5 linked regions of the Cricetulus griseus genome follow. The protein of the gene in region 1 interacts with the protein of each later gene in a pairwise test. Links are inferred from orthologs where the notes say so. Each region holds a gene or a part of one and is shown in the gene's direction. Other genes may lie near its edges.

Region 1 (4,235 bases):
CCTAAATTATATATATATATACCCTGACACTGTCATGGCTCTGTGGTGACCTGGGCTGCATGAGGACTAGCACTGCAAATAAGGAACTCATGTCAGTGGGAGCCAATAGGAGGGAGCCAGCACAGCCACCAGGAGGTGTGTGCTTTAGGGGGGTCAGTGTGGCCAAGGCTCAGCCTCTCCTGATCTGTCTGCCTTTCCTCTTCAGGCTTCCAGCTTAATGAACAGTCCCCAACTGCAGCAGCTGTGAGTAACACTGAATACAAGGGACAGTAGTCTTCTTGCTTTTCTAATTTTTATTGTATGTGTATTGCCTGCATGTATTTCTGTTCACATGTGTGTGAGGCCCAATAAAGCCAGAACAGGGTGTCGGATGTCCAGGAACTGAAGTTATAGATGGTAGTGAGCTGTCATGCAGGTGCTCAGACAGAACCCAGGTCTTTTATGAGCAGCCAGTGTTCCAACCGTGAACCATCTCTCCATCCCTTATTATTGTTTTTTGATTTGCAAGACATGGTTTCTCTGTGGCTTTGGAGCCTATCCTGGGACTCACTCTTGTAGACCATGCTGGTCTCGAACTCACAGAGATCCACCTGGCTCTGCCTCCTGAGTGCTGGGATTAAAGGCGTGCGCCACCAATGCCCAGCTCAACATTTACCTTTTGAGGCTGGGTCCCATGAGCAGCTCCAACTGTCCTGGAATTTCTCTCTCTCTCTCTCCCTCTCTCTCTCTCTCTCTCTTTCTTTCTTTCTCCTGTAACTCTTGATGTAGACCGAATGACCTTGAACTCATGGTGCTTGATGAAGTGTGACGTGTTGCCGAGAGTTGATCTTTAACCAGGAAACCGGCTGGCATCATACACTATTGCGTTGTCATGCACCTGCTCTTTAAATTCTATTTAAAGAGCTTTCCATCCCCGTGAGCCATCACCCCGTTCCCTCCCCAAAGCTCAGCACCCACAAATTTACCTCCCATCTCTATGTTGGCCTTTTGTGGACATTTCCCACCATAGAGTCTTTTTTTTTAAAAGGTATATATGTACAGTATTCTGTCTGCCTACATGCCTGCAGGCCAGAAGAGGGCACCAGATCTCATAACGGAAGGTTGTGAGTCACCACATGGTCGCTGGGAATTGAACTCAGAACCTCTGGAAGCACAGTCAGTGCTTTTAACCCCTCAGCCATCTCTCTAACCCCTCCCATCATAGAGTCTTATTTGGGCCTTTCTGGTCTGGCTCTGGAATTAACATAGAGTCCTTGGGGTTCCTTTGTGCTGTGGTGTGTGCCAGAGCCTCCTATTGGGGCTGGGTGATAACTGAGCGTGTCACAAGCCATTTGTTCTGACCACTGTCAGGTGTGCTGCTGTGAGCACACCAAGTCGGAGCCCAGAGTCAGCTCTGTCTTGCTGAGGAATGGCAGGGGCTGATTTTGTACTCCAACTCCACAGGACTTTTTCACCCTTGTCACTGTGTGTGTTTCTGCTGCTGACTTGTTCTCCAGAGGGTGTCTAAGGTCTATTGCACTTCCTGTCATCTCCCTACACTGTCAGCAATGACAAACATTTGACTCAGCTTAGAGTCTGAGAGGAAGGGGACATGGGAACTGCCCTCTCACCTGACCAGGAGTTGTCTGCGGGTCCTGGGAGACAGAGGGCAGTGGCTGCCAAGGCCGTGTGCTCAGTCCTTTCTTCTGCAGGATGTCAGGCATGATCTCTGGTGGCCATAACCCCTTGGGTACCCCAGGCAGCAGTTCATCACAGAGTGACTTGGCCAGCCTCATCCAGGCGTGAGTGTTGCTGCAGGTTGTGGTGGGGTTGGGGGCAACTGGCATCCCAGGCGTGAGCAAGGGGAATAGCAGGAAGGGGGCGGGGGGCTGGCATGCACATCCCAGAGGTGAGCAGGTGGAGGGAGGCATGAGGAGGGGTCACAGCAGGAGGAGAGGGCACAGTCAGTGTCCTGGGCACCCACAGGGGCCAGCAGTTTGCACAGCAGATGCAGCAGCAGAACCCGGAGTTCGTGGAGCAGATCCGGAGCCAGGTGGTGCGCAGCCGGACACCCAGTGCCAGCCATGAGGAGCAGCAAGAGTGACGGTAAAGCCGCCGGTGCTGCCTGGGCCGACTATGGGGCAGTCCTGTCCTTGCTTGTCACTACCCATGAGAAGTCCATTTCCTGTCTCCATGGCATGGAGTGTATGTGTCCAGAGCTGCCACTGACACCTGTATAGAATCTAACTTCTGCCTTTTCGTCATTTTTTTTATCAAAGTAGTGCAGATGAACCTAGGGCCTTGTTCTCTGCAAGGGGCTACACCCTACCACGCCCTCAACCCCCTTACTGGGGGGTTCTGGGCAGGCTACACCCTGACCATGTCCCCAGCCCCCTTTTTACTCCTTTATCCATGGCGTTTGTGTATGCCTTAGGCATACACATAGCCAACCTCAGGTGCTGGCCCGGACCCCAAACTTTAGGGCTATCACTGGCCTGGGTTTCATTAAGTTCTCCAAGATCCCTACATGGCTGGCAAGTTCCCAGCTCCACCCCTGGGCTTGCAGGCACAAGCCAAAGTGCTTGACTGAAGGCATGGCTTCTGGGGACTGAAGGCAGGGCCCCAGATGTCGAAGTCAGCGCTTCACAGGCTGAGCATCCACCAGTCCCCGTGTTCATGTTTGGCTTTGGTTCAAGAGTGTTGGGTGTCAGGTGTGTGTCTCCTCAGCCACTGATGGTTTCTCGGAAGCTACAGTACCCCTGGGTGTCCTGTCTGTCCTCCCTCACTGGGCTCTAGTCTGGTCATGGCTCTCACTGTCCTGGCTTCTGTTCACAGCTCATCTGTGTGGTGATCCCATCGATCTTTGGCCTCCTGGTGTTTTAGCCTTTTCTCCGTCGGGCTGCCCAAGAAAGAGACTGGACCTGCATGTTAAGACGGACTCATCCGCTGTTTCTCTTCACCCCCACTTCCATGTTTGTATTCGTGCTGGCCCCACCCCTTCCTGGAAGAGAGTCAGCCAGACAGCTACGCACCAGCACCCATTCCTCCAGCACCTAGGGAAGCTGAGGGGTGGGGGACACAGGGATCCACGGGGCATAGCCTGGGTCTTTGGGTCTCAAGCCCCACCCCGCCTGGTTAAAGAGACTTGAATAGTTGACTCTCAGCCCCCTGGTAAGCATCCACTGCCAGCCCCAGCTGGGTGCCAGCGTTTTGCGCCCACACTTGGGTTGCTGGTCCTAGCAAGTGCCCCTGCCTGCCTTATCCCAGTGGCCTATGCCACACAGGAGAGGCCTGTGACTTGTGCCCCACTTGTGGACGTCCGTGTCTCCTTCCCCACCTTCCCTCCCGTCTCCACAGCCATCAGCCAGTCCTAATTTTGTGTGCAGTCCGGCTCCATTCTCAGCGTGGGCAGAAGACGTGGCCACCCTGGCCCATACTTGCCCTTCTGTCTTCAATTTCATGGGAATTCGACGTCTGCGGTTGGCAGGCAGTTTTGGAGTATTGGCCCACAGGCCATGTTCTCAGCCCCGAAACAGCCACCAGAACCATTTTTGATGAGGAGTGGCTCTGTCCAGTGAGTGAGGCCATGTGGGTATCCCCACACCCACTCTCAGCACTTGGAGATGGTGGGGAGGCGAGATGACGGGACAGCTGACCCAGCAGTGGGTCATGATGGCGTCAGACTGTGTGGCAGGTAGTGTCAGCCTGGTGTGTTATAGGTAGCCAGTAGGAAGATGGGCCCCTTGGCCAGTGCCGTCCGCTTACAGGTGGCAGCAACGCCCACCTGGGCACAGACCACCTGGGTAATAAAGAGACAAGGATGACACTTGGCCTGTGGTATCAGTCCCATTGACCTGATGACTAACATACTATAGCTTGGAGGGCCAGTCTGTCCTGGCACACAGGAGACAACAGCAAGGCCCTTCAGATATGGTTCCCATGGGGACCTCTGGGTTAGAGCTGGGCACAGGCTACTGGGTTAGAGCTGGGCACAGGCTACAAACTTGTGGGGACATGTCCTGTGTCCATGGGAAATGGGTTCCTATCTCTGACCTGTGGGTCTGACCATGTGGTCAGCAAGCTACCCTGTCCTTTCCCCTCCTGTTAGCTTCTATAGGTAACAGCAAACAAAATCATGTTGGGGAGGTGGTGGGAAGCAGTTGGAGGCTCGCAGCCCACAGACCCATGACTTTGGGGTCACAGGCTTAGTGGAGCATGTGGTATCTGGGAACCCAGAAAACAGCCTTGACCTATTG
Region 2 (4,893 bases), on another chromosome or scaffold:
CATATAACAAGGACATCTGTTCAACGATGTTCATAGCAGCACTATTTGTAATAGCCAGAAACTGGAAGCAGCCTAGATGCCCCTCAACTGAAGAATGGATAGAGAAAATGTGGTACATTTACACAATGGAGTACTACTCAGCAGAAAAAAAAAACAATGGAATCTTGAAATTTGCAGGAAAATGGATGGAACTAGAAGAAACCATTCTGAGTGAGGTAACCCAATCACAAAAAGACAAACATGATATGTACTCACTCATATGTGGATTTTAGACATAGAGTAAAGGATTACCAGCCTCCAATCCACACTGCCAGAGAAACCAGTAAACAAGGAGAACTCTAAAAGAGACAAACATTGTCCACTGGAGAAGGGGAAAGGGTCACAATCCCCTGAACAAATTGAGAGCATGGGAAGAGGGGGGAGGGAGCTACGAGAATGAGAAGGGAAGAAGAGGAAGGGTGCAGAGATCATGAGGGAGCAGAAAGGTTGAGTCAGGTGAAGAAAAGAAGAAAGGGTATGTGGTAGGTAGGGTTTTAGTTGGGGAGTGGTAGGGGAGGAAGGGAGGGAGAAGGGAACTGGGACTTTCATGTAATTCAATCTTGTTTCTAATTCAAATAAAAATGATAAAAAGAAAACAAAAAAAATGAGGCATCCTCCTTAAGATTGATGGAGGAAAGAAGCCTTCGTGTCAGAGGAAACAAGTGACAAAAGATGCCTCTTTGAGACCAGGCCACTCATCAGAGATTGGGGTAGATAGATATGGAGGGATTGAAACACATTAAGTCTAAACGAATAGAAGAAGGAAAAAGATCCTGATGTTGGCAGTATAATTAATAGGCTCCCCTTCATTCATTTAGATTCATTCTCGCATACAGACAAAATGTGATAGTCTCCATAATGCACTTCCAAAACCTTCTAGGAAAATCTAGGGCCCAGGTGCACTGGCCTTTCCACTTCAGCTGTGTTTGGCAGCCCAGGAGCAGGGGACCGGCCAGCCTTTGCATCATTCATGGGTTAAGCACCTGAAGTACCTCCTGGCACAGAGTACAGAACCACTCAGCCAGCTGTCAAAGGAATAGGCCCCTCCTCACCTGGCCAGGTAGCTGATTGCCAGCTGTACCCTGCTTCCCACTTCTCCCCACAAGCAGAGAGCAGGAAGTTTAGCAGATTCCTTGGAGGATGCATTGGAAGGAGCAAGTCAACCTGCAAACCTGCTGCCTTGGGCTCCTTGAGAGTGTTGAGTGGAGCTGAAGCAGAGAGGCCCCAGACTTCCATGGTTGGTCCATCCCCATTCAGGTCCTTCTCAATGCATCCTGTCCATTTCCTGCTCAGGAAAATCCTTGAGGATTTTCGGACCTGGAGGGAAAAGTCCCTAGGGACCAGCATTAGAAAGAAGGCAATCACACGAGATTGACAAGAGTAGAGAGCACAGAAGGAAAAGCTGTTCTTGTCCAGAGCTCGAGAAGGGAGGGGGAGGGCGGTGGAGCCCTGGTTACTTTGCTGAAGGCTGCGGAGCTAGCACAGCCATAAGGCGACGGGGAAGAGAGAGAGCTAGCTAGCGGGGACGACCAGGCGCCCGCTTGGGGGAAGGGAGGCGGCGGCTCAGTGGGCCTCGGGGTGTATGTGTCAGTGCCTGTGAGTGTGAGCGTGGTGTGTTTGTGTGTGTGTGTGTGTGTGTGTGTGTGTGTGTGTGTGTGTGTGTGTGTGTGTGTGTGTCTGGCAGAGGGCCAGGGTGATTTCCCATAAACCACATGCCCCGCCAGCCCGCCCGCTTAAAAGGCTGTGCCGAGGGCTGGCCAGCTAAGCTCGGCCAGAGGAAAGTGAAAGTTTGCCTCGGTGCTCTCCGTGTTGCTGCGGCTTTCTGCATCCCGGGACAGCGGCGTGGCCCTCGGTCGGGGTGCAAGCTCTCCAACCAGCAGCGATCGAGGGAGCGAGCGAACTAGAGCGGCAAACACGCCGGACCGGGACCCAGCTGCCCGTATGACCGCGCGGGGCGCCGCGGGGCGCTGCCCTTCATCGGTAAGCTGCGACCACGGAGCGGGGCCCGGCCCCGCTCGGGCCGGGCTAGGGCGGGAGCTCTGCAGCAGTGGCGGCTCGGCGCGGCAGCTCAGGCATCTCGGCCCTAGCATCAGACTTCCTAACCGCTTCTGCGCTAGGGCTGAGGCCCGCTGTAGTTCAGCAGCTGCTCTTGGGGCTACAGCGCTTTGCGGGGTAAGGGGAAGGCTGCTCACCCCATTGAACGGAGAAGAAAATTGAGCCACCCACAGGCAGGAGAGAGAGAAGTTTGCAGCAATTGGCACAGGCCCAGTGTCTGCCAGGATGATCGGCCCGTCTCCAGGCACCGAGTGACAGACCAGAGTGTGGCATCATCCCCAGTGGGCATCTTCCTCTGGTTGTTGCACATGTTTCTAGACCCTAACTGGGAGTGGGCCTTCTGGGAAGGGAAAATTTAGGGTCACTCAGCTTTAGAATGCCAGGACTTGTGCTAAGCAACCTGTTGTCAAAAGAAAAAATGGTCATGCTGTTACTTGCTGCAGTCTATGGGCAAGCGCTGTTAGGGACTTGGATGGCTGTTTGAGGGGAATGGGACCCCAGGAATGGCCTGAAGCTAACCCAGAAAAATTTGGTTCAATGAGATGGGGCTATTCTGGGCTCAACTGCTGATTGAGGAGAGTGGAATGAGAGTTCACAGATGCAGAGCTGCTGGTGGGTTGCCAGAAGTTTCCCCATGAGTGGCAGTAGATGATGCTGTGGCTCCTGGAGAGTGCAGGGTGGCACTTCCGACCAACAGCAAGACAGTTTGCTTCTGAGAAGAGTGATGGGGAAAGCCTAGAGGGCAAGAGCAAAACATCTGATGGGCAGGGGAGGGTTGCAGGTGTTTGAGAGAGAAAGTAGATCCCCTGGGAGGGAGGGCCCTGAGAGGCAGGAGATGGGGTGAGGAGGGGAAGGAAGGGTTATAACACAAACAATAAGTAAAAAGAAGGGCTAATGAGAAGGGAAAACAAGGGGAAAGAAGGCCAGAATTAGACAAGATCAGTCAGAGGGCCCAATCATGCCAGGTCTCTACAGAGACCTTACTGATTGGGAAATGGAACGTGATGTCTTGAAGCATTCTGAGACTGCAGCAGTTTCCTTCCAGGGCTGCTCTTATAGTCAGAGGCTGAAGCAGTGGGTGGGAGGAAGAAGCAAGCCAGGAAGAGCCTGTCCAGCCAGATGTAAGCTGGAGTATTAACCCTTGGGTGCCCATCTGTATCCTTGTCTATGGTAGCATTAGGGTTACAGATCTAGGAGTGGCCCTCTTTGGTCATCTTTGAAGTTAGCCTCTTATCTGGTAACTGTGCATTATTCCTGTGCATGATTGAAGTGCCACCAAAAGCCAAGTATCCCAGAGTAATCTCTTCACCTTGCTATCCTCAAACATCAATGCCTTGAGGTGCCAGGATTGAGGTCTTCCTGAATATCTCCATGCCCAGGACCTTTTCTCCATACCATGTACACCATGAGCTGCCAGCCTGAGTGACAACCAGCTTGGGCCAGTTATCTTCTGCACAGTAGTTTCCTTTCTAGGTCCTAAGTGTGAGGTTCTGAAGATTTGGGATGCTGCTATTCAGGGCTAACTTTCCAATTGCCCAACAGTGCCCAACACAGTATCATCCCTTGGCTGCTGCACCTTCTTCCACACTCTTCCTCTGAGTGTGGAAGCCAGGGCCCTAACCAACCCCATGCTTAATGGCATTGGGCAACCCTGTGCCTCTTCTCTCAACCCCTATCTCTGTCTGCCACCCGTTAAGGCCTCGCTGAAGTCCCTCTTCCCTCATCACTGGCCAGCCAATGCTGCCTTTTCTCCCTGGTACACACTGCCAAGGCTTTGGGCATTTAGATTTAAACCAGTGTTGTTGTGGACTGTTTCATAGCCTCCCTGTGCTTTTTCAATGTGCTCCTATTTTCAGGATTTGTCTCATCATCTGGACTATTGGGGCAGAGCCCAGATCTAGGAAGGTGCCAGCCATCACTCCACCCTGCCAGCATTTCCCTGAATTGGGGACATCAGCTGCCAGGATGCTCAGGAGCTCCTAGGAGGCAGCCTCAGACCAGGGGAAGGAAGCCCAAGAGCTCCCCGCCTGAGGCTGGTATCCCTGAGATGCCCTATTGGAGTTGTAGGGATGAAAGGATCTTGGGGAGGAGGAAGGGAGAAAGGAGAAAGGAAGGACCAAGTCAAGTGTTAGGAACTCTAGGGATGAGCAGCTGCTGGTCCAGGTGGGTGCTGACAAAAAAGAGAGAACTTCCTTGCTGTGGCAAGAGTTTGCTGACTAGATGAACCATCAGATAGGCAAATATCATCAGTGAAACACAGCATTATCTTTGATTAGTCCATTGGAATGCAAGTCCAAGGCTCCAGGAGGTCTCCTACTTGGGTTGTGTTCCCAGTGAAATGGAGTTTGATCCCAGTGTTTCCCCCTGTTGAGCCAGACTTGTGGAACCAGGTGGGAAGGGAGGCAGGACCCAGGGTCAATGTTTCTGGCTTGCAGTCTGAAAGGTAGTGTCTGATCACAAACTTGAAGCCAGCTTGCAAGGAATTTGTCTCAGCATTAAAGCTGAAAGGACAGAAAACTCTACCCCAAGGAGTTTCTCGGTATACAGACTGACACACCACTAGTGTTATCATTAGAAATTCTCTGTAGACTGGGGAGATGGCTCAGCATTTTTGTTTGTTTTTGTTTTGTTGTTGTTGTTGTTTGAGACAGGGTTTCTCTGTGTAGCTTGGAGCCTATCCTGGCACTCGCTCTGGAGACCAGGCTGGTCTCAAACTCACAGAGATCTGCCTGCCTCTGCCTCCCAAGTGCTGGGATTAAAGGCGTGTGCCACCAACGCCTGGCTGATATGGCTCAGCAT
Region 3 (4,039 bases), on another chromosome or scaffold:
GAGCATACAGGACAGACAACCCAGGCACAGCAAAATATTAACCACAGCACACTTTGTGATATAAGTGTTGGCTATACAATTTTTTAAACTTTATGATCGTCTTTTTCATAATAAAATGTCAACAAGTAGAGAAAAATTGTCAAGCAAATATTTGGCACCACTCAATGTGTTAAAAGTGCTTTTATATTCTGGGAGAAGACCTATTACAAACACCTGGAGAGCGCAACATTTACCCAACAGAAGGCAGGTCTCAGGCAAGAATACCTTCAGATCATTTAGGGTAGGGAGAACATTCCTCCAGGCCTCTAGGATTACATTCTCATTTGCTTGTCTGTGTTTTCAGACAGGGTCTCATACTGTAGCCCAGACTGGCCTTGAACTCATGATCCTCTTGCCTCGCCCCAAATGTTGGTGTTACACACATGAGCCACCATGTCTGAATTAATTATTCTCTTTAGATTCTAGCTGCTTTTCCTGCCCTTCAGTTGGACTTTAAGAAAATTTATTACATCTCTTCACAAATCTGCACTTTGTCTAGAGTGGACCCCACCTTGCCACCTGTAACCGTAGCGGGAGAGGCGGGATAAGGTGTTCCAGACCCTGCTCAACACCTGACCCTAGGAGGTTGGTCATGTTTGCTCAGCAGGTGAGGTTCACATAATAAAGAACAGTGGGAGGGCTTGGACCTGGTATAAAAGGTCTGGGAATTTCTAGAAGATTTGCACCTGAAACTGCTAGGGGAAAGGTGAGTTGGGGGAAGACCTCCAAATCTGAGCTAGGAAAGACAATGCCTGGACTGTAGCAGGGCAGACGCAGGCAGCAGCTCCTGGATGGGAGCTATTTTGGGGTGCAAAGGTGTCTGGTTTTGGCTAAGGGGGGTGAATATGGACAGGCTTAGCTGTGGGAGACAGGGTTATGACACACAGACAAGTTGCTTGAGAACTGATGTCTGAGCTCGTGCAAGCTGCTCCTAAAATCTCTTCGCCTCGCTCAGTTCCGCCAGTGCTCCCTGGACATTGGCGAACTGTCTTCTATTGTCCTTTGCTCTTGAGGTGATACAGAGGCACCTTGAAAATGTTCTTTGCCTTGATTTAAGAGTAGAGTGATGCTAGAGCTTTAACTGTGCCTCAGACAGCTCATCAACCATTTGATTTCAGGGAGGTTTTGCTCTGATTCTTGGATCATCAGTTCAACTGCCTCAATATTTTGGGGGTGACCTTTACTTCCTCTTCAGAAAACTCTCTCGTGCTTTGTGCCTGCATGAAGGGAGGCTTGACTCAGTTTAACACAGACGGAAAGTTTGGATTATCTTTTTGGATTGGGAAAGAAGGGTTAGTTAGGTACGGTCAGAACAGGGAGAACCGGAGGGATTAGGGGCCTGGAAAATAATATCTGAAAGGAACAGGACTATCCCTGGGCAGTTTTGTAGGTCTCTTAGATCTGAATTGAAATATCACCATGACATGGGTCTGTATTCCCAGCCAGAGATGCCTGGGTAAATGAAATCCAGAAAGCAATGAGCCTTCCTTTTCTCCCTCTTCCCACTGCAGCCTCAGAATGCTGGCCATCATTCTCTTAGCCCTTCTTTGTGCCTCGGCCTCTGGCAATGCCAGTAAGTGAAATGCCACTGACCTGGTAATGGGATAATGAGAAGGCAGCCCATGTACTGCTGATGCTGGTCAGGGCTGCCTGATACTGGTTTGGGGTGGTGGGGGAAATGGGGGTAGTGGAGAGCAGCTGTGCTCCCAGAGTATCTGTCCCTCCAGGCCTTTCTTTCTCCTCTAGTTCAGTCCAGGTCCTCCTCTTACAGTGGGGAGTATGGAGGTAAAGGAGGAAAGCGATTCTCTCATTCTGGCAACCAGCTGGACGGCCCCATCACTGCCATCCGTATCCGAGTCAATTCACGTTACATAGTAGGGTGAGAGTCTTCATGTTTCTGTGGTTTGGGAACTGTCTGGGACCTTACTAGGTTGGGAAAGTCTCATTCACTCTGGATCACACCTGTTTAAATCGGTAAGTCACAGTAATGTGTTGGAACACCTGGAGTCTAGATCTGTGCTATTCTAGTCCCCTAATACACATGACCTTGGCAAGTCAACAATCACAAACTCTCAGGGGTCTCACATTACCTGGGTTGGATTTCACCTGAGGTCTAAACCTCTTTCCCATATTTCTGTCGGGCATACTTTACCTGTGCTTGTTGTCTGTCCTGGGGTAGTCCCATCCCTTCCTCCAGCTGGAAACTTCCATCAAATGCAGAGCCAAATGCATTTCCTTCTAGTCTAAGTTCTGAACTGTGACACCGTGCTGGTTCGTCTCTCCTCTGTCTTGCCTGGGACACTTTCCAGTGTTTGAAAATCCTTGGGCTTCTTTGAAGTTTGTGTTGGCGGTGAGCTCAGACTCTGGCTGTCTGGGTGACTGAGTTCCACAAGCCAATATGCCAGCAAAATGAGAAGCCGAGATTCTCTGCATGGTCTTCTAAGGCTCACGCAGTCTTTGTATCTCATGGAACTTGTCACCAGTTTGAAGATACAGCATATAGACTAAGAAGATATATATATATATATATAATATATATATATATATATATAGTTTATTTTATGTTTGTGTGTGCATGATATGTGGGGGTGCCCAGGTGCCCCACCGTACATGTGGAGGCCAGAGGGAATCTTCTGTGAGTGGGTTCTCCCCCTCCACCACGTGGGACCTAGGGGTGGAACCCGTGTGGTCAGGCTTGGCAGCAGGCACCTTTACCAGCCGAGCCATCTCTCCATTCCAGTCTTGAATTGTAATAACCATGTTCCACGTGTTCCTTCTTCCTTCCCACCCCTGCCCCCAGTCTCCAGGTGCGCTATGGCACAGTGTGGAGTGAGTATGTGGGTGGCAAGCAGGGAGACCTGGAGGAGATCTTTCTGCACCCCGGGGAGTCTGTGATCCAGGTGTCTGGGAAGTACAGGTATTACCTGAAGCAGCTGATCTTCGTGACAGACAAAGGCCGCTACCTGCCTTTTGGGAAAGACTCAGGCACAAGTTTCAACGCCATTCCCTTACACCCCAACACCGTCCTTCGTTTCATTAGTGGCCGATCTGGCTCTGTCATCGATGCCATTAGCCTACACTGGGATGTCTACCCTAGCCACTGCAACACTTGCTGAAACCCACCTACTCTCTGGCAGCGGGTCTGTGTGGGTGTGAGAACCCTCTTATCACCAAGCCCCATGCAAACATGCAAATAGCTTAATAAAAGGATATGACTAAAGATGGTGTTTGTCCACATCCTAATTCTAATAAAAATGTGTGAAACTTATTTCTGGACTTTTTAAAATATTCAATTAAAAACATTTTGAGACAGGATCTCTCTACGTCCTGGAACTCACTATGTAGACCAGGCTGAACTCGCAGAGTCTGCCTGTCTCTGCCTCTGGAGTGCTGGGATAAAAGGGGTGAGCCACCATGCCTGGCTGTATCTGGCTACTGTTGAACGTTAATCTAAGGAAATGGGAGAATAAGGATGAGATGTGCTATGGGCTTTTCTTTATGCCATCAAAAAGAGACAAAATTCTGCCTGCACCAACTCTTCCCAAGGACAGCCCCTGAAAATTTTTCCTAATAGGACTTCAGAGGCTAGGGTAAGGCTTGGTTGTACCAACTTGCCAAAACTCACTCTCCAGCTCCCCTCTGCTCCTTGCCTTGGGAAACTGCTTTCCTGCCCCCAAATGTCACCTTATTCAATTGGCATGATGTCACTTGCTGTTTGTGGTGGGAGAATTCTCCTTTCTTCTTTCCAGAATCCACCTAACTTCTAAAGTTTGGCCTAAGGACTTGCCTTAGCCTCTATCTCTTCATTTGACTCCAAGCCTGGGTGTTCCTAACTTAGCTCTCTCAAAATTGAGACTCCTTTCTTGAGAAGCTACCACATTCCCAGTAGTGTGAGCACTATCATTGCTGTGTTCAAAAGAGAAAACCGCTGGGCTGGTATGGTCTACATAGAGACTTCCAGGACTACCAGGGCTGCAGAAAGAGATCCTGTCTCAAGAAA
Region 4 (4,935 bases), on another chromosome or scaffold:
CAGCATAGAATACCCTGGAGCCAGTTACAGGTGGTTTTCAGAATCAAACTCAGATCCTTTGGAAGAGCAGCAATCACTGAACCATCCTCCCAAATCCTAGGTTTGTGTTATAAAGACTATACAATAAACAGGTAAAAGAAAAATACTAGTGTGGTGGTGCATGCCTTTAGTCCCAGCACTCGGGAGGCAGAGGCAGGCGGATCTCTGTGAGTTCGAGACCAGCTAGTTCTATAAGAGCTAGTTCCAGGACAGCGTCCAAAGCCACAGAGAAACCCTGTCTTGAAAAAAACAAAACAAAAAAAAAAAAAAAAAAAGAAAGAAAAGAAAGTTATTTGCAGTCATCCTAAGGGCTGGGAAGATGGTTCATTTGGTAAGTGGAAGTATGAGGCCTTAATTTGATCCTTAGCACCCAGATGAAATAAAATAATAATAATAATAATAGACCAGCAGGGCATGATGGTGCACACTTTTGATTCCAGCACTTGGGAGGCAGAGGCAGACAGATCTCTGTGAGTTCAAGTCCAGCCTGGCCTACAGAGTGAGTTCCAGGACAAGCAGGGCTACAAAAGAAACCCTGTCTTGAAAACCCCTCCAAATTTTTTTTTCATTTAAAAAATGGCCAACAAGTTAAGATCCATGTAAACACTGAGTTAAATTCACAGTGGTGCCTGCCTGTAATCCCAGCACTTAGGAGGCAGAGACAGGAAGATCAGAAGTTCACGGTCTTCCTCTGCTACAATGGTTCTAAAGTGACCTAATGCTTCGACCCTTTAATACAGTTCCTCATGTTGGGATGACCTCCAACCATAACATTATTTTCGCTGTTACTTCATAGCTATAATTTTCTACTTTTTGGAATAGCAATATAAAGATCTGATATGCAGGATACCTGATATCCAACCCCTGTGAAAAGGTCGTTGGAACCCCAAGGGGTCGCGACCCAGAGTTTGAGAACCACTGTTCTACTGAGTAGTTAACAGAAAAAAGGGAAAAGTTAATCCAGGGTGATAGACTTGGAGAGAGGGTTCAAAGGCTAAGAGCACTTGCTGTTCTTTTCTGATCTGAGCTCTCTTCCCAGTTCTAGCTCCAGGGAATCCAGTGCCCTCTTGTGGCCTCTGCAAGCAACCACACACACGTGGCATACACTTTCAGACACATAAATCAAAGCAAATCACTTTTTAAGAGAGCACTATATCTATGTCTCTCTGACATGCCTTCCCGCTTTATTTATCAAAGCTCCACACTATATAGTATTTAAGACTATAATTGTCTTCTTGCCTGTCTTCTCCAGTAACAACTTTCTTAAAAATCCGAAATACTAGACCTTCCGGATCCCTACATTGGCGTCCAGTGCGCATTAGGGGAACAGTAACGACTCCCTTTAGTTACGGAGCTCGAGAAGCCGGAAGGAGGGAAAGAGGGAAAGCTGGAGGTGGGTGGACCAGCAGAGCCGGGCAGGACAATCGTCCAGGCACGAAACCACGCCCCTCCCGCAAGCACCGCCCCGCGCCGCTCCTCCTCTCCTGTCCCCGCCTCTGACCTCTGAACGGCCCGGGCACACGCCCACGAGGCGTGGCCTTACTGCCCGAGGTCCGCAATCCCGCCAACAATGACTCCGCCCCTCCTGCCGCTGTGCAACCTGGCCCTTTTAGTCAAAGTTACGTTTACGTCAGTCCGCCTTACGTAGCCTTGCGTCATCAGTACAAGGCGGGGAGGCGGGACTTCCGGTCCCCATGTTAACAGCTTCCGAGGAAAGCCGGAAGAGATAGGACCCTGGACAGAATCCCGGGTTGCCAGCCCCTCCCCCGGCCCCTACGGAAAGACGAGTGCAGAGACTGTCCTGGCGAAGTCAAAACATTTATCCTGGCTTTGTCAGGTGAGGCTCTCCTTCCCCACCCAGGAATAGTACCAGTCCAACCCCCTCACCCTCCAATTTCCCATGACTCTCCGCGCCCTCAGGCCCCGCCCCCGGTCCCTCTGTCCCGCCCCGAAGTTTGAGGGGTGTGGATGGTTTGTGGCCCCCTCGCCTGACCCTAACCTTCCCCGGGCAGGAGAGCTGGGCCTGGGCACCGCCACCGTGACCCGGAAGCCCTTCGGCCGGGGGTGGGGGCTCATGGGCTCTGCTGCCACAGGGAAGGACCTCCCGGGCGCAGAGCCTTCGCCTCGGGAACAGCCAGCAGGGTCGCCCACAGGCTGAGGAGAAAGCTGAGGCCTGGGAGCAGGCAGACGCCCCCCGCGGCCCCCTGCGGCCCCCTGCGTCCTCGGCTTCCGGCTGTCTGTGCCACAGTTGCCTCCTGTGTAAATCACGATTCCTGACATTAACCTTGCCATCAGGGGTTGGTTGTGGGAGTGAGACATAATTGCTATCATTTGTTTATCGAACAGTCTTAAATTATTTTGCTTCGATGATTTCACGTCATCTTCAAAACAACCTTATGAGGTAGGTACCATTTTAAACCCCGCTTTACTGATGACAGTGCTGAGGCTTGAGAAAGTTGTTGGAAGTTACGTAGCTAGAAGAGGGACTAGACCGCGATCTTTGTTTCCCTGACTCCAGGGCGAATCTGTTAAATAAGGCCGTGGGAAAAAAACTTCGAATGTCGGTATGTCCACAGATATTGAGGAGCTTCTGTAGCATTGCTCTGAGAGCTTCTTACAAAGAGAACTGCGCTTGATTCTTCCACAAGTCAATGAAGAGATGGACAGTTTATAAGTAATGACGCTTTATGGGTGCTGTGAGAATAGTCTGGTAACGATAATCACCAGTTGGATTTGCTCAGGGACAGCTGTGAAAGTAGGTTCTCCAGGGAAAAGAGAAGATACTCCAAGGAATATGCGGAGATCCTCCATGCTTTTCTAAGAAACTGCAGAGAGAGAACCTTCACAGCACAAGACAGAATGAAATAAGAATTGTGGGAGCTCGTTGGAAAACCTTTCCAAATAATTTCTACTTGGGCAATGGCTGTTTTTTCTTCTTCTTCTTTTTAAGCTGCTTCATGCAGTCTAGGGCTGAATTTGCAATGTGATGGAGACTTGTCTTGAACCCTTCCTCCTGCCTTCATCTCCCAAGTTCTGGATAACTGGAGTGTATGCTGGGGCAGTGGTTTTACAGTTGTGAGCCAAGCCCATGGTGACCCAAGAGGGCAGGGTTTCTGGTGTCTGTCCCATGTGGCTCCCCAGAATTTGCCAGAACACTTTCGTAGCAGACGTGTGTCTGCTGATAGTCCCAGTACATTTGTCCACTTGAAGTGATCTGATTCTGTCCTTGATATATCACAAGGTATTTATTTTGGCTTTGACAGCTGTGCATGCATGGGTCTCTGGCCATGTATGAGATGTAATCAAATGAAAGTCTGGTAGGGATGGCTGCACAATGCCTGTAAAGGAATCTTTTCATTCTTTGAAACTACAGTTGAGGCTACTTAAAGGGCATATGTGCTTTAGTCCCATGTTAGAAATCTTAGAGAAACTCCAGGCTTACAGAGACATACGTAGGCAGGTATGGTGGTGCACGCCTTTGATCCCAGCACTCAGGAGACAGGGACATGTGGATCTCTTGAGTTTGAAGTTAGTTTGGTCTACTAACTGCTATGTAAGTAGAGAGACAGGCTAGGACCAAGGCTAGAGTCAGGATAGTCAGGGTTACACAGAGATACCTTTTCTTGAAAAGAAGGGAAGAAGCAAATGTTCTTTCTCCATGTATCAAAAAAATAAAAATTGAAAGTTAAAAAAAAAGCAACTAGCAGCTGGTGACAAGCTTATGAGGCTTTTCTGGTGACCTGTGCTCTTTATGGGAGCAGAATCTGAAAGCTAGATTTTCATAATAGAGGCCAAGGGTAAGTCCTTAGCTTGAGATTGAGGGTCTAGTACAGTTAGGGAGGTTGACTGCCTCTCCTAAAAAACACCACAAACTCCCCTCCCCCCCTTTTCCTCTCCCGCATGATTCAGAACCTAAACAAACCAGAAACCTGATTATAAGCCCTCAGGCCCTGCTGATGCTATCCCCCTTTGTTCCTACAGCGTGGACCCGGTCAGCAGCCAAACCATGGAACTCTCTGATGTCACCCTCATCGAGGGTGTGGGTAATGAGGTGATGGTGGTGGCAGGTGTGTTAGTGCTGACTCTAGCCTTGGTCCTAGCCTGGCTCTCTACTTACGTAGCAGACAGCAGTAACAACCAACTGCTGGGCACCATTGTGTCAGCAGGCGACCCATCTGTTCTCCACCTGGGGCATGTGGACCAGCTGGTAAGCCAAGGCGCTCCAGAACCGACTGAACTCCCCCATCCATCGGAGGGGACTGATGAGAAGGCTGAAGAGACCAGTGACACTGGAGGAGACTCCACTGGGGAACCTGGAGCTAGGGGAGATACGGAGCCCAGCCTTGAGCATCTCCTGGATATTCAAGGCCTCCCTAAAAGACAAGCAGGCCTGGAGAGCCCTCCAGAAGCTCCACTGGGATTAGATGATAGCACCTGCCTCTCTCCCAGCCCCAGCCTCATCAATGTTCGGCTCAAGTTCCTCAATGACACCGAGGAGCTGGCTGTGGCCAGGCCAGAGGACACTGTGGGTACCCTAAAGAGGTGAGTAGGCTGGAAAGAGAGCAGTAACTAATGATTTGTGCCTCACTCATTGGTTTCCCCAAAAAAAGTTGGTGCAGATTTGAGAGCACTAGAGGAATTTTAGTGGCTGGTCTCTGCCAGAGACTTCATAGTCAGCCCATCAGTTTCTTCCATGCCCTGCTTTGTTGGTCCAGACCTTTATATCCTCATTCCTTATCCAGTCTTTCCTTTCATCCTTATAGCAAATACTTCCCTGGACAAGAGAGCCAGATGAAGCTGATCTACCAGGGTCGGCTGCTGCAGGACCCAGCACGCACACTGAGTTCCCTGAACATTACCAACAACTGTGTGATTCACTGCCACCGCTCACCCCCA
Region 5 (4,781 bases), on another chromosome or scaffold:
CTAAGAAAAAAGTTTTTCCTAAACTTAACCTTATCCTCTGCTCTGCCAACATCTTGCCAGGTCTCAGAGGCACCAGAGTTCCATACAGCCTGGGCTGTGATGAAGCAACAGTTACCCCAGGAAGCCCAGGACATGGCAGCACCCCAGCTTTCTCAGGTCCCCCAAAGATGGTCAACGCCCACTAGGTCAGCAGAAAGCATTCTTAAGAACTCTATGCCCTGCCCGGCGGTGGTGGTGCACACCTTTAATCCCAGCATTCGGGAGGCAGAGGCAGGCGGATCTCTGTGAGTTCAAGACCAGCCTGGTCTACAAGAGCTAGTTCCAGGACAGCCTCCAAAGCCACAGAGAAACCCTGTCTTGTAAAACCAAAAAAAAAAAAAAAAAAAAAAAAAAAAAAAGAACTCTACGCCCTTATTCCCTAACCTGCCATGTCTAACACCCCACCTTTTTAATAATAAGAAAAGGTGGGAATGAAAGGTGCAGGCATAAAGCTGGCCTGGCTACCTGGCAGAATCCACTCAGGCAGTACTCTGGTCAGCCCAGGGTTCCATGAGAACTAAGTCTGCAGGGAGGTGTAAAGGACCCCTTTAAAAGACAGACCCCCTGCTCACTTATGCTCTCTTCTACTACACCCTCTTGGCGCTCTCTCTCTCTCTCTCTCTCTCTCTCTCTCTCTCTCTCTCTCTCTCTCTCTCTCTCTCTCTCTCTCTCTGTGTGTGTCTCTCTGTCTCTCTCTCCTCTCTGTCTCTGTCTCTCTCTCGCTCTCTCGCTCCCCCCCCCTTAATAAACTCCATGGTTAATGTATCTCCTGGTTCACGTTCCCTAGCTCGAGTCTTTAAACAAGATCACAACACTGGCCTTAATCACCCTCTTGTTTCAGTCTCTTAGCACAGGGATTATAGCACCTCCTTTTTTTTTTTTTTTTTTTTAATGTGTTGAAGGCAGGCACGTGCACAGTGCACCTGTGGAGGTTTCACCGCACCGAGCCATCCCACTGGCTGGCCTCTCTTTGTTGTTGTTGCTGTTTGTTTGTGAGGCGGAGTCTCACTATATAGCCCTAGCTGGTCCGGAACTCACTATGTAGAACTGGCTGATCTCGAACTATAGAGATACACCTGTCTCGGCCTCCCAAGAGCTGGAGTTAAGGGCGTGCACCACCACGTTTGGCCGCCCTCCATTCCATTTTCAAAGCAGTGGCACCTTCAGTCTGCCCGCAGGAAGGCAGGAGTGCTATTTCTAAACCCACAACTAGCACCGGACCCATCCCCCATACTACAGCTGTCTCTGTCTATCCTGGGGCCAACATGGCACCTGGTCCTTGCTATCTCATCAGACAGCACCTTTCAGTTTTAGATCTTCCTATTAGACACTAAACATTTCGAAAAGGAGCGAGGTTCCCCACCTCAAAAAAAAATTAGTTTGTTGGGGATCACATTCGCCCACCAAGAGATAAACCAAGAGGGAAAGTACTGCTTACATCTTCTACCCCTACCCGCGCCCCGCCCAGGAGATCAAGTCCACCTTTTATTGGTCAAAAGTTCCCCCTACCCTCCCACCCGTGCGGAGAAGGCGACTTTTCACTGGTCAAACACCAGCCACGTGACTCCCCCCCCTTTTTTTCCCCTTCCTGGGCTGGAAACCTGGGGAGGTTGCAAGAAGTTAAACTGAAGACAGAAGCGAGAGCTGGGTCAGGTAAATCCCTAGCTGGAATGGGCCGGCAGACCCCCACTTTATCCCCCTATAAAAAAGGAGGGCAGAGCTGTATAAAAGGAGTGGGCACCCCCCCCCCGCCCCCGCCCCGGGTCCACACACTGCCTAACACAGGACCTAAGGGCGGGGAAGGAGGGAGACGGATGAATCCGAAGCAGGAACTCAGGCAAGTTCTTGTGGTCCCAGGTCCTTCCCTTTAAAGGTCAGAGAAGTCTGTTAGAGGGAAGTGTGCACCAAACCAGACTTCACAGCTTTGTGCAGAGTAGGAGCACTGTTTTTTAGAAACAGCAGGAGTCAGAGACAATCCTGACAAGATGTTGTACCCCGTTTGAGTGAAAAGGGGAGCGTAGGGAGCTGGTTTTCTTCCTAGAGGTCAAAGAGTCCTGAAAACACAGCTGAGAAGGATGGCAGCTAAGCAGCGGCACAATTTCTTAGAGGGCTTCCTAATAAGGCATCGATGTGCTAGCCTAGGAGAGCAGGGATGCGTTCTGGTAGCAGGGTTTGGGACCCTGAGTGCAGGAGTTCCAGGAAGTCCGCTGCTTAGGTTTCAGAAGGTTTGTCTTGTTGACCCAAATACCGTACCATTGCTGGTTTCCATGGAGACAGTAGGTCTGACATCACCCTGGTTGCCATGGTGCTTAGTTCTGGAGGACCTGAGCAGGCTGTAAACAGCCAGGGATGAACCGGGGACTTCTGCTCAAGCTGCTGCTGCTTCCTTCCTCCTGTCACCTGTTAACAGTCACACACAGCAGCTGGGATTGGGACAGGGCAGTAGAGGGAGGGGTGAGACCAGAGAGCTGGACAAGGATGGCTGTGTGTGTGTGTGTGTGTGTGTGTGTGTGTGTGTGTGTGTGTCACTAGAGGAAGGGGGGCGTAGGGAGGTTTTTTGGGACCTGGTATAGAGAACTTACCGAAATCATTCTGTCTCCCTGTGGGTTGGGTGCTGGTGTCTCACTGGCACTCAGAAAGACACCATTAGACGTCCTTTATCACCTATCTTGGACTTGAATCTTGACTGGCCAGAGCCACAGAAGTTTATAAGGTAACCATGAAGGGCTTAACCCTAGCTGGAGTAGATAGATAGGAAGCATTGGCTGGTTTTGAAGGTAGAACTTCCAGACTCCCCCACCCCATTTTCCCTTCTCAGTGTTCTTCAGTCATCTTCACCTTCTGCCTTTTCTGCTACCGGGGAAGGCAGTGACTTTTCTGTCTCTGACCACAGTCCAAGACTCTGTGGGTCAGCTTGTCTGTCACTCCATCCTCATGCCTGATCCCAGATGCAACTCCATAGCCCAAGGGCACAGCCTTGCTTAATGTGTGTGTGTGTGGGGGGGGGGGAGTCATACCTTAACCCTGGTTGTCCTTCAAGCTGATTAGCAAGGGACAGGACCAGAGTCCCAGTCCCCCACCCCTTTTTGTTGTAAATTGTAATGTGATTTATGGATGGTAATCGCCACAAATCCTTCTCTCCAGTCCCTGAGATCAAGATCCCTGAGATCAAACTCTGTAGAATTTACAGTGGAGAGAAAGCGAAAAGGAGCCTGACTAAATGTACACCCAGGAGGACTTAACTCTCCCAGGCCTGCTGGGCCCTGCAGTATCAGAAAGCTTCCTGCCTGGCCTGATTCCACTCACGTCAATGGCAGTCTTAACTGAGCCTTGCAAAGCCAGTGCTGAGAACCAGTAAACCAGAAGTTCTCAACCTTCCTAACGCTGTGACCCTTTAATACATACAGTTCCTCATGTTGTGGTGACCCCCAGCCATAAAGTTATTTTGTTGCTACTTCTTAAGTGTAATTTTACTACTGTATGAATGTAATATAAATAGCTGACAGAGGGGTGTGGCCCACGGGTTGAGAACCACTCGCCTAAACCAAGAGTGGAGGGTTGATGGACAGATGGGTGCTGGGACACTTGGGCCTTAAGGAGACTGGTGGGTCTTCTCTTTGGGTTCTGTGGGAGGACGCTAGGGACTATGGAGGACCCAGGTATTGTGAAAGGGACCCAGGTTATTTCCCTCTCTCCAGTCAGTCAGCCTCTCTGTGATGCCTCCCCACTGACCAGAACACCAGGGGGTTGGACTTTTCAGCCTTTGGCCTCTTTGACCTTTCAAGGTCAGTGCAGTTTCCCAAGGCCCTGTGGATCCTTGGAAGAGGCAGCTTCCCTGTGGCTTCTAGCAAGAATACTTCCAGGAAAGCATGGGATTAGGGCAGAAGGACTGAACTGGCCTGGGTTTTGGAGATTACTGCCCTGCTTTTGATGCCTGGAGTCCTACTTCTGCTGTCTGCCTCCCCTGATGGGAGTTCCCTCCCCTCTTCCTCCTCTATAAAAATTTTTATTTATTTATTTTTAAGATTTATTTTTATTTTATGTAGATTGGTGTCGTGTTTTGCCTGCATGTGTGTCTGAGTGAGGGTGTCAGATCCTCTGGAACTGGAGTTACAGACAGTTGTGAGCTGCCATGTGGGTGCTGGGAATTGAACCTTAGCCAGTGCTGTTAACTGCTGAGCCATCTCTCCAGCCCAGGGACTCCAATTCTTAAGAGAGCTTTTCCCTGCAGGTGGCCACTCTAGCAACCCTGGACTGCCACAACTATGACCTCCTCCTGCCCAGACTCAGATAATAGCTGGGTGCTTGCTGGCTCTGAGGTAGGAACAGTGGGCCTGGGAACTACGTGGGAGGGGGGACTTCCACAGGAGTGGACTGCTTTGAACCGGAACCTGCAGGAATAAGGGTCCCAAATGGTGAGGTGTTTAGTGGGAGTGTCAGGGATTGAGGGATAAAGAAGACAAAAGCAATAGCTGGGACTAGGAGGTCTTGTACAAGCTGATGACTTATGCCAAATAAATTTATTAGGAAGTACAGCATCTTACATACTATCTACAAGGGAAAATGGCCAAAGTCAGCAGAGAGCTATATCAGACAACATTGGCAAAGAATACAGAATACCTCAGCCTTAGGATTGATAACCATAGTCCAGGGGGAAGAGTCATGTCACAAGAATACAACCTTGACTCCTTCGAGGAACTGGCTCTAGCCCTAGACCAACCTTTCCTAGTCTGCTCATGGAC

What was found.
Region 2: the proteins of Sgta (region 1) and Csf1 interact in binary tests that used the Homo sapiens proteins (3 or more experiments, as listed by UniProt). The two-hybrid records come from large-scale screens. The link is inferred for Cricetulus griseus from reciprocal best matches to the Homo sapiens genes SGTA and CSF1.
Region 3: the proteins of Sgta (region 1) and Zg16 interact in binary tests that used the Homo sapiens proteins (3 or more experiments, as listed by UniProt). The two-hybrid records come from large-scale screens. The link is inferred for Cricetulus griseus from reciprocal best matches to the Homo sapiens genes SGTA and ZG16.
Region 4: the proteins of Sgta (region 1) and Tmub2 interact in binary tests that used the Homo sapiens proteins (3 or more experiments, as listed by UniProt). The two-hybrid records come from large-scale screens. The link is inferred for Cricetulus griseus from reciprocal best matches to the Homo sapiens genes SGTA and TMUB2.
Region 5: the proteins of Sgta (region 1) and Pbxip1 interact in binary tests that used the Homo sapiens proteins (3 or more experiments, as listed by UniProt). The two-hybrid records come from large-scale screens. The link is inferred for Cricetulus griseus from reciprocal best matches to the Homo sapiens genes SGTA and PBXIP1.

The regions. Positions count from the first base shown.
Region 1 is NC_048598.1:101,827,649-101,831,883, reverse strand, and holds the end of Sgta (small glutamine-rich tetratricopeptide repeat-containing protein alpha), read left to right. Parts: intron 1-205; coding exon 206-243; intron 244-1,691; coding exon 1,692-1,781; intron 1,782-1,965; coding exon 1,966-2,083; 3' UTR 2,084-2,085; intron 2,086-2,814; 3' UTR 2,815-3,809; downstream 3,810-4,235. UniProt on the Homo sapiens protein: Co-chaperone that binds misfolded and hydrophobic patches-containing client proteins in the cytosol. Mediates their targeting to the endoplasmic reticulum but also regulates their sorting to the proteasome when targeting fails.
Region 2 is NW_023276806.1:49,399,671-49,404,563, forward strand, and holds the start of Csf1 (macrophage colony-stimulating factor 1), read left to right. Parts: upstream 1-1,709; 5' UTR 1,710-1,980; coding exon 1,981-2,019; intron 2,020-4,893. UniProt on the Homo sapiens protein: Cytokine that plays an essential role in the regulation of survival, proliferation and differentiation of hematopoietic precursor cells, especially mononuclear phagocytes, such as macrophages and monocytes.
Region 3 is NC_048596.1:73,700,386-73,704,424, forward strand, and holds Zg16 (zymogen granule membrane protein 16), read left to right. Parts: upstream 1-1,557; coding exon 1,558-1,612; intron 1,613-1,785; coding exon 1,786-1,918; intron 1,919-2,839; coding exon 2,840-3,155; downstream 3,156-4,039. UniProt on the Homo sapiens protein: May play a role in protein trafficking. May act as a linker molecule between the submembranous matrix on the luminal side of zymogen granule membrane (ZGM) and aggregated secretory proteins during granule formation in the TGN.
Region 4 is NC_048600.1:115,815,226-115,820,160, reverse strand, and holds the start of Tmub2 (transmembrane and ubiquitin-like domain-containing protein 2), read left to right. Parts: upstream 1-1,751; 5' UTR 1,752-1,876; intron 1,877-2,385; 5' UTR 2,386-2,405; coding exon 2,406-2,440; intron 2,441-4,020; coding exon 4,021-4,581; intron 4,582-4,802; coding exon 4,803-4,935.
Region 5 is NW_023276806.1:65,108,439-65,113,219, reverse strand, and holds the start of Pbxip1 (pre-B-cell leukemia transcription factor-interacting protein 1), read left to right. Parts: upstream 1-1,597; 5' UTR 1,598-1,692; intron 1,693-2,675; exon of another isoform or gene 2,676-2,752; intron 2,753-4,270; 5' UTR 4,271-4,304; coding exon 4,305-4,358; intron 4,359-4,781. UniProt on the Homo sapiens protein: Regulator of pre-B-cell leukemia transcription factors (BPXs) function. Inhibits the binding of PBX1-HOX complex to DNA and blocks the transcriptional activity of E2A-PBX1.